2 linked regions of the Canis lupus familiaris genome follow. The protein of the gene in region 2 interacts with the protein of the main gene of each other region in a biochemical or structural test. Links are inferred from orthologs where the notes say so. Each region holds a gene or a part of one and is shown on either strand. Other genes may lie near its edges. The genes, in order: RELB and MALT1.

Region 1 (3,593 bases), about 94 Mb from region 2:
TCCATGCAGGTAGCCTGACGTGGGATTCGATCCGAGGTCTCCAGGATCAGGCCCTGGGCTGAAGATGGCACCAAACTGCTGAACCACCCTGGCTGCCTGGCCTTTTAGATTTTATTGCATTTCTTTTTATAGACACTATATAATGGGTACATAGGTGCTTTGTGTATGTTTACTCATTGAATCTATACCATCACATCACTTCCCCCCTCATTTTACTGATAAAGAAACTGAGGCCCGGGAAGCTGAAGTCTCTTAGCCAAGGTCACATACTGCATTTGCGGTGGAGCAGGGACTTGAACCTGGGCATCTATACAGGTAGATTAGTGATACAATATTATGTGGAACAGATAGCAGGGGGTAAATGGTAGATAAATGGGAGGGGTTGTCAGAGCCAACCAGCCTTAATTCAGAGCCTGTCTCTAGCCCAAACACCCTCTGGCCTGTTCTACCCCTGCTTTCATCTTAACTCATATGCCAGCCTCTGCTTCCCATGAACTGCAGCCTTATCTGGCTGCCATCAGAAGCCTCCCCAGCCGCTGACCACTAGCTCTAACAGTGCTGTCCCCTAATACCCCAGCTACCCCAGGGCACCCAGCTCCCAGCCAGCCACCAACAGCCAGCCACTCAGAGTCTGCTGAGCCTGGATCACTCCAACCAGTCCCACTGTGGAGGTTTCAAGTATCACCTGTTGTTCCCCCTACCCACTGCACCTGGTAACTAATGCCCAGAGCTCTACCTATAGCAACAACCAATCCTAGCCCACTTCACCAGTCTTCAATCCCCAAGTCCCAAAGCGTCTCCTCTTTAGCCACTGCTGTTCATCTACGTCCTCCATCACCCGTTTCCCAATGCCTAAAGCCCTCCTCTCTCATCCATGGGGCAAAGCTGCTCTGGCATGATAGTATAATGGTTAGGAGCATGGCCTCTGGAATCAGACTGAGTTTGGATTCTGAAGCCTGAATTTAGCCATGTGACTTCTTTGGATCTCATCTGTCAGATGGAAATCTTACCTCTTAGGGTCCTTTTTAGAATCTAGTCAGGTCATATCACACAGATAGTTAGCATAGTTAGTGCTCAGGAGATCTTAGGAACTTGCTGGACAGGAATGCCAGGAATGCATTTGTTATGATCATGTTTAGCTGTATTCACAACAAAACCCAAATTAACAGGGGCTTCAACAGGCTATATTTCTCTTCTCAGATAAACAGTGGTAGATAGTCCTGGGATGGTGTGGAGGCTGTAGGATCATCAGAGACCCAACCAAGCTCCTGCCATTTTCAACTCATTTTCCATCTCATGGTCCAATATGGCTGCTGAGGCTCCAGCCATCACACCCATAGTCCAGCCAGGAGAACTTAAGTCACATGATGACATTTAGCTGTAAGGGAGGCTGGGAAATAGAGTCCCAGCAGCCCTGAGTCTTTCTGAGATAAGCATAATTTGCCTTTGCTGGTCAGGTTTGTCTTGTCTCAGAAAGAGACTCTCCTTTATAATGACATACAATTTTACCTTCCAATTTGGGAACTGGTGACTTCTCATTTAGGTCTTCCATGTGTGGGGCTTTCACTTTTTGGGTGGTCTCTATAACTTGGGTGAGGGGAGGACTTTAGAGCCTCTTCAACATCCTTATTTTTTGGAAAAACTCCCCAGCCCTGCAGAAGCATAGTTTGAACCCTGGTTCTACAACTTACCAGCTATGTGTGACTGAATTATTTTGCCTGTTTGCTTTTTTTTTTTTTAAGATTTTATTTATTTATTTATTCATGAAAGACATAGAGAAGCAGAGAGAGAGAGGCAGAGGGAGTAGCAGGCTCCATGCAGGGAGCCTGATGTGGGACTCGATCCCTGGACCCTGGGATCAAGACCTGAGCAGAAGGCAGATGTTCAACCACTGAGCTACCCAGGCGCTCTTGACCTCAATTTGCTTATTAAGTGCGAATGGTGATAATGCCTACCCCAGGGTTCTCCTTGGGATTAAAGGAGGCCACGGTGATCATGCATTTAGCTCTATTAGGTCACTGGAGTTTGGGCATGGCCAGAAGTTGATGCTAAAGCCACCCTATTTTCCTTCCCTCTCATCTGTGCAGGCCCGTTCCTCCCACCGTCAGCCCTGCTGCCAGACACAGACTTCTTCCCTGGCACCGTGTCCCTACCCGGCCTGGAGCCCCCCGGTGGGCCGGACCTTCTGGACGACAGCTTTGCCTATGATGACAGCACGGCCCCCACACTTTTCACCATGCTGGACATGCTGCCCCCTGCGCCGCCACTCGCCAGCGCTGTCACGGGCAATGGGGCTGCAGGGCCGGCTGTTGGAGAGCCTTCCGGCCCTGAGCCAATGACGCTGGACTCATATCAGGCCCCAGGCCCCGGGGACGGGGGCACTGCCAGCCTTGTGGGCAGCAACATGTTCCCCAACCAGTACCGTGAGGTGGGCTTTGGGGGAGGCCTCCTGTCCCCGGGGCCCGAGGCCACGTAGCCCTGAGGTGCTGGAGGAGAGGCACTGGGTGGGGAGGACTGGAGGTGGAAGGGGCCGTGCAAACCCAACGAGGATGTCCCGCACCGCACCTCCATACCCGTGGGCCCCCAAGTGGTCAGTCTTCCGATCTCCTCATCCTTCTTAATGGGACATCTTTGGCGCTGGTGAGAAGCTCCGTAGCACCGGTTTCCCCTGAGCCCATTTTACAAATGAGAAAACCGAGTCCGGAGAGGAAAAGGGGCTTGGCTCCCATGCACCAGCTTGTAAAGTTGCCTCAGCCCCCACGAGTGGGGGCGCCTTCTCCAGGTGGATTCTGGAGTGTACATAATGGGAGAAAGGTGCAGATCCTCAGCTCTCCTCCCCCGAGCTTGAAGGTGGGGGATAAAGATTGTTTGTTGTGAGTCTTCCCAATAAAGATGAGTTTTTGAGCCTTGGGAGTCTGCTGTCTTCTCCGCTGGGGAGACCCCAGGGCGCTCACGCACGAACCCACGGGGATCTCCTCGGCTCCGCCTCTCTCGGCAGCATCCTCCAAGACCCCGCCCCTCGCGTCCAGACCCCGCCCCCTCGCGCCCGGGGCCCGCCCCTTCGCGTCAGCGGAAGCGCGCTTCTCCACGTTCCGCCCCTCCCTTTCGTGCGGCCTCCCACTTCCGTTTCCGGTGCGGGCCGCGCGCGAGCGCAGCGGTGGGAGGCGGCGACGAGCCGGTGAGTGCAGGCAGTGGGCCCCGACCTTCTGGCTTTCGGGGGGGCGTCAGCCCAGCTTCGCCCCAGTCTCGGCCTTTCCCCGGGCTGCTGTGAGCCTCTGCTCGGCCCCAGCCCCGAGGGCCGCCGGCCCCGCACCCCCTCCGGCCTGCCGCGCCTCAGGCCGCGCCCCTGTCCCCGCGGTGGGCCCAAGCTCGCCGCGTACGACCCCGCCGCCTACCACAGGCCCCACCCCCTTGTCAAAAACCTTACCCTGATCTGCGAGGCCCGGACGCGGTCCCCGAGCCCAGTCCAGAGCCTCGGGCTCCGCCCCTGTCTACAAGCCTTGCCCCTGAGCGCAGCCCACCCCCTCCTGTCTGCCAGCTCCGCCTCCCTGTCTCCACTCCGTTTTTCAGCATCCCCCGCCCCCGCCTTTCGG
Region 2 (3,818 bases):
ACAAGCATGTCATTGAAATTAGTTAGCAAGAGTGAATCTTTTTTTTTTTTTTAATTTTTTTTAAATTTATTTATGATAGTCCCAGAGAGAGAGAGAGAGAGAGAGAGAGAGAGAGGCAGAGACACAGGCAGAGGGAGAAGCAGGCTCCATGCACCGGGAGCCCGATGTGGGATTCGATCCCGGGTCTCCAGGATCGTGCCCTGGGCCAAAGGCAGACGCCAAACCGCTGCGCCACCCAGGGATCCCAGCAAGAGTGAATCTTATTATGATTTTTGCTGGAACAAAGATGAATGCAAGGAACAGTCAGGAGAGCTCTTGCAACTATGTAGAAAGTCACTCTTGGAAGGAAGCCAAAAACAAGAAAGGAGGGGCAAAGATGAAAACAAACCAATTCTTTGAAAACAGGGCTGTCCTCAGCCTCTCTTGAAGCCCAACCTGCTTCAAGACTTTTCAGTTAGAAGATTCCGGAACCCCAGAACTGACAAAGATCTAAATTATAATTTTAGGTTCCCCATGTTAACTTCAAAACATTATCACAAATAAGCCGGTTATGTAATAAAAACTGCATACATCAAAACCATGTAAAATAGAGAGCATGAGTCCTTAGACCATGGACCTCTCAATCTTGACTGGTTTCTCTGCTTCTAGTGGAACCTATAATGGTGAACCAAACCCCTGAGAGAGAAGGTCTGCGGTGCTGGTGCCATCAAGTGACTTAGATCACATGGTTTCTCCTGCCTGACACTGCTGCAGCAGACCAACTTTATCTGTCATTGTGGAGACAAGGGGCTGTTTCCTATTCCTCACACCTGACCCTGGAAGTGAAAAATCTCTCAATATTGGTATGATCAGAAGAAAAATCACGGTTGAATCAATCAACATTTCAAAAGCATCATGTTGGTGAAATACTTAAACAATAAACATTTATTATATATGCTTTATCTCATTTGTCTACATATTAATACATACTTATTTTTTTGGCTGCATTTTTTTCTTCTTTCTTTTCTTTTCTTTCTTTGATTCTTTGTTTTCTTTCTTTTTCTTTCTCTCTTTCAAAGTAAACTCTACCCCCAACGTGGAGCTCAAACTCACAACTCTAAAATCAAGAATCACAGGCTCTACTGACTGAGCCTTGGCTACACTATTTCAACACGAGTTATAGAAATCTTACCCGTAGAGGCACCTGGTTGGCTCAGTAGGGTAAGCATCTGCCTTCAGCTCAGGTCATGATCTCAGGGTCCTGGGATCGAGCTCCACATCACTGCTCGGCAGGGAATCTGCTTCTCCTTCTCCCTCTGCCCCTCCCCCACTTCATGCTCTCTATTTTGCTTTCTTTCTCTCAAATAAATAAAAATCTCTAGAAACAAAAAAGAAATCTTACCCCTAAATAATACTTTTTTTAAGTAGGCTTCACGCCCAACGTGGGGCTTGAACTCACGACCCTGAGGTGAGAGTTGCATGCTCTACCAGCTGTGCCAGCCAGGTGCTCCATCCCCTAAATACTTTAGCATGCATCTCCTTGGAATAAAGACATTCTTCTATAGAGCTACAATACCATTATCATATGATAATTCCCTAATATCTAATACACTTGTTAAATCCAAATGGTTTTACAAGTCCCCAAAATATCATCTATAGTTGATGCTTTTGAACCACAACCCAATAAATATTTATGCATTATACTTGTTTTTCATGTGTTCTTTAGTTTCAACCTGGAAGGAAAAAATGTTTATATTTTCCAAAAATATTTAATACAATTCATTGTCAAATGAGAGATCTTCCTCTACGTTTGTCTACACAAACTCCTGGAGAACAGACCCAAGAGAAGAACCTACCTGGGGGGCTAAGAAGCAGAAGAACCTCCGTGTGCTCCATAGCCTGCAGGAAGTCACTCAGTTCTGTGACCGTACAACCTTTCTCACCCATCAGCTTCAGTAAACATAAGCTTGGACTTCCTTCAGGCTCCAAGACCTTAAGAGAACACTGCTCCAAGTCCAGACAACTGCAAACAACAGATTTAATTCAAGTCAACAGGATTCTCCAACATGATATGCCTGCTACATGTCTGGTATGAACTTCTGTAGGGATAAACTGTAAGTCACCGGTGCAGTTATTTACGTTATGAATGCTCCTGTCCTTTCCTTCTTCTGCCATCATAGAGGATTCCTCTTTATGCCCTTCTCCAACTCAGCTCCTGTGACTACTAAATTAGAAAATGAGAGAAATCTTGAAACAGGATAGAAGTTTGGCTCTGATGTCAATAAAAATTTTTATCTAATTTGGGAATACTGATTAGAAAGACCAGATACCTTTCTCTACTCATTCTTCTGCCTTTATAAAGTATAATATGACCCAAGAAAGAGGCATTTTGAAAAATGAAAAAACTTAATATACAGTATTTTGTATTAGCAAAGTAGTGTGCTTACATATATATTCAATATGATTAAAGATAAGGAACAGTGTTTGTTCTGCATGATATCATTTTTATTAGTAAGAATATATATTTGCTCTTATATGTACAGAGTTAACTTTGACAAGATAGCCAAGAAGCCAGTAGTAGTAATTCTCCTACAGAGGAGAGCCAGGGCAGCTGGAGGATTCACTTTTTACTATAAACTCTTGTGTACTGTCAAATTTTTCTTACTATGTGTCCTCATTTTTTTCAACAGTTTTTAAGACTAGCAGTACTACTAACATTCAAAGTACTTCTAAGCATCTAGAAATACCTTAATACAGGGGCAAGACAAAATCTGGTCTGTGGGTCAAACCCACCCAGCCACCTGATCTTGTAAACACAGCCTCACTCGTTCACATACATATTTACAGTGGTGGATGGCTGCTTTCCGTTGTAACAGCAGAGGTGAGCAGTTGGTCCACAAAGCTGAAACACATGGACTATTTAGCTCTTTGTAGAAAAAGTTTGCTGACCTCTGTCCCAAAGAACCTACTCTCTGTCTCACTGTCCTTTTGTTAAAACTATTCTTTTAACTATCACTAATTTTTATTTTATTAATTTTTATTTAAATTTAATCTGAGCTAACACATAGTACATCATTAGTTTCAGATGTGGTTTTCAATAATTCATCAGTTGCGTATAATACCCAGTGTTCATCACATCACGTACTACCACTATTTAACATACATATACCATTTCCTTTTCAATGTCATTGTGTTCAGTAGGCATATACAAGGTTAGAAAGCCAGGTTAAGGTCAGACAACAGAAAGTCATAAATAACAGGACAAGAAGTATGGACTTCAACCATTTCATAGGAAGAGAAAGCGTAAGTATGAAACATTCAAGAGAAGAAAAACAAGAAAGTTAAACCAAACAATCAAAACAACAAAAAAAACCCCCAAAATCTTCCCAAAGAGACATAACCAACAACAAAGGCCAAAGCCTTTAGATAATCTCCATGACATACTGCAGAATTCGTACCTCACACACCTTTGCAGCGACCTCTCCCTTTCCTGCCAATTTAAATTATAGTCCCAATATATAAACTGTAGAGTCTCTGTGGAGTTCACCCAGACCACACAAGTCCCCCAAACACACGTCAGAGTTGCCTCATGGTGCTTATCTTACATATTAAAGGTTGGCAAATTTCAGTAAAGTACCAGAGGGAAAATATTTTAGGTTTTATGGGCCATACAGTCTAGCGCATGTTTTTCTTTCCTGGCTTTTGTTTTGTCTTACAATTTTTTAAATATAAAAATCAATCTTAGCTCATAAACTGCAAAAACAGGCAGTAGCCCAAATCTGGCTCAGGGACTGTTGTTTGCAGACCTCTGTTCTCTATGTCTCAATTAACACAATTTT

What was found.
Region 1: of the proteins of MALT1 (region 2) and RELB, one has a biochemical effect on the other in vitro, tested with the Homo sapiens proteins (2 studies listed by BioGRID). The link is inferred for Canis lupus familiaris from reciprocal best matches to the Homo sapiens genes MALT1 and RELB.

Annotation. Positions count from the first base shown.
Region 1 is NC_049222.1:111,144,954-111,148,546, reverse strand, and holds the end of RELB (transcription factor RelB), read left to right. Parts: intron 1-2,087; coding exon 2,088-2,476; 3' UTR 2,477-2,906; downstream 2,907-3,593.
Region 2 is NC_049222.1:17,506,152-17,509,969, forward strand, and holds part of MALT1 (mucosa-associated lymphoid tissue lymphoma translocation protein 1), read right to left. Parts: intron 2,003-3,818; coding exon 1,836-2,002; intron 1-1,835. UniProt on the Homo sapiens protein: Protease that enhances BCL10-induced activation: acts via formation of CBM complexes that channel adaptive and innate immune signaling downstream of CARD domain-containing proteins (CARD9, CARD11 and CARD14) to activate NF-kappa-B and MAP kinase p38 pathways which stimulate expression of genes encoding pro-inflammatory cytokines and chemokines.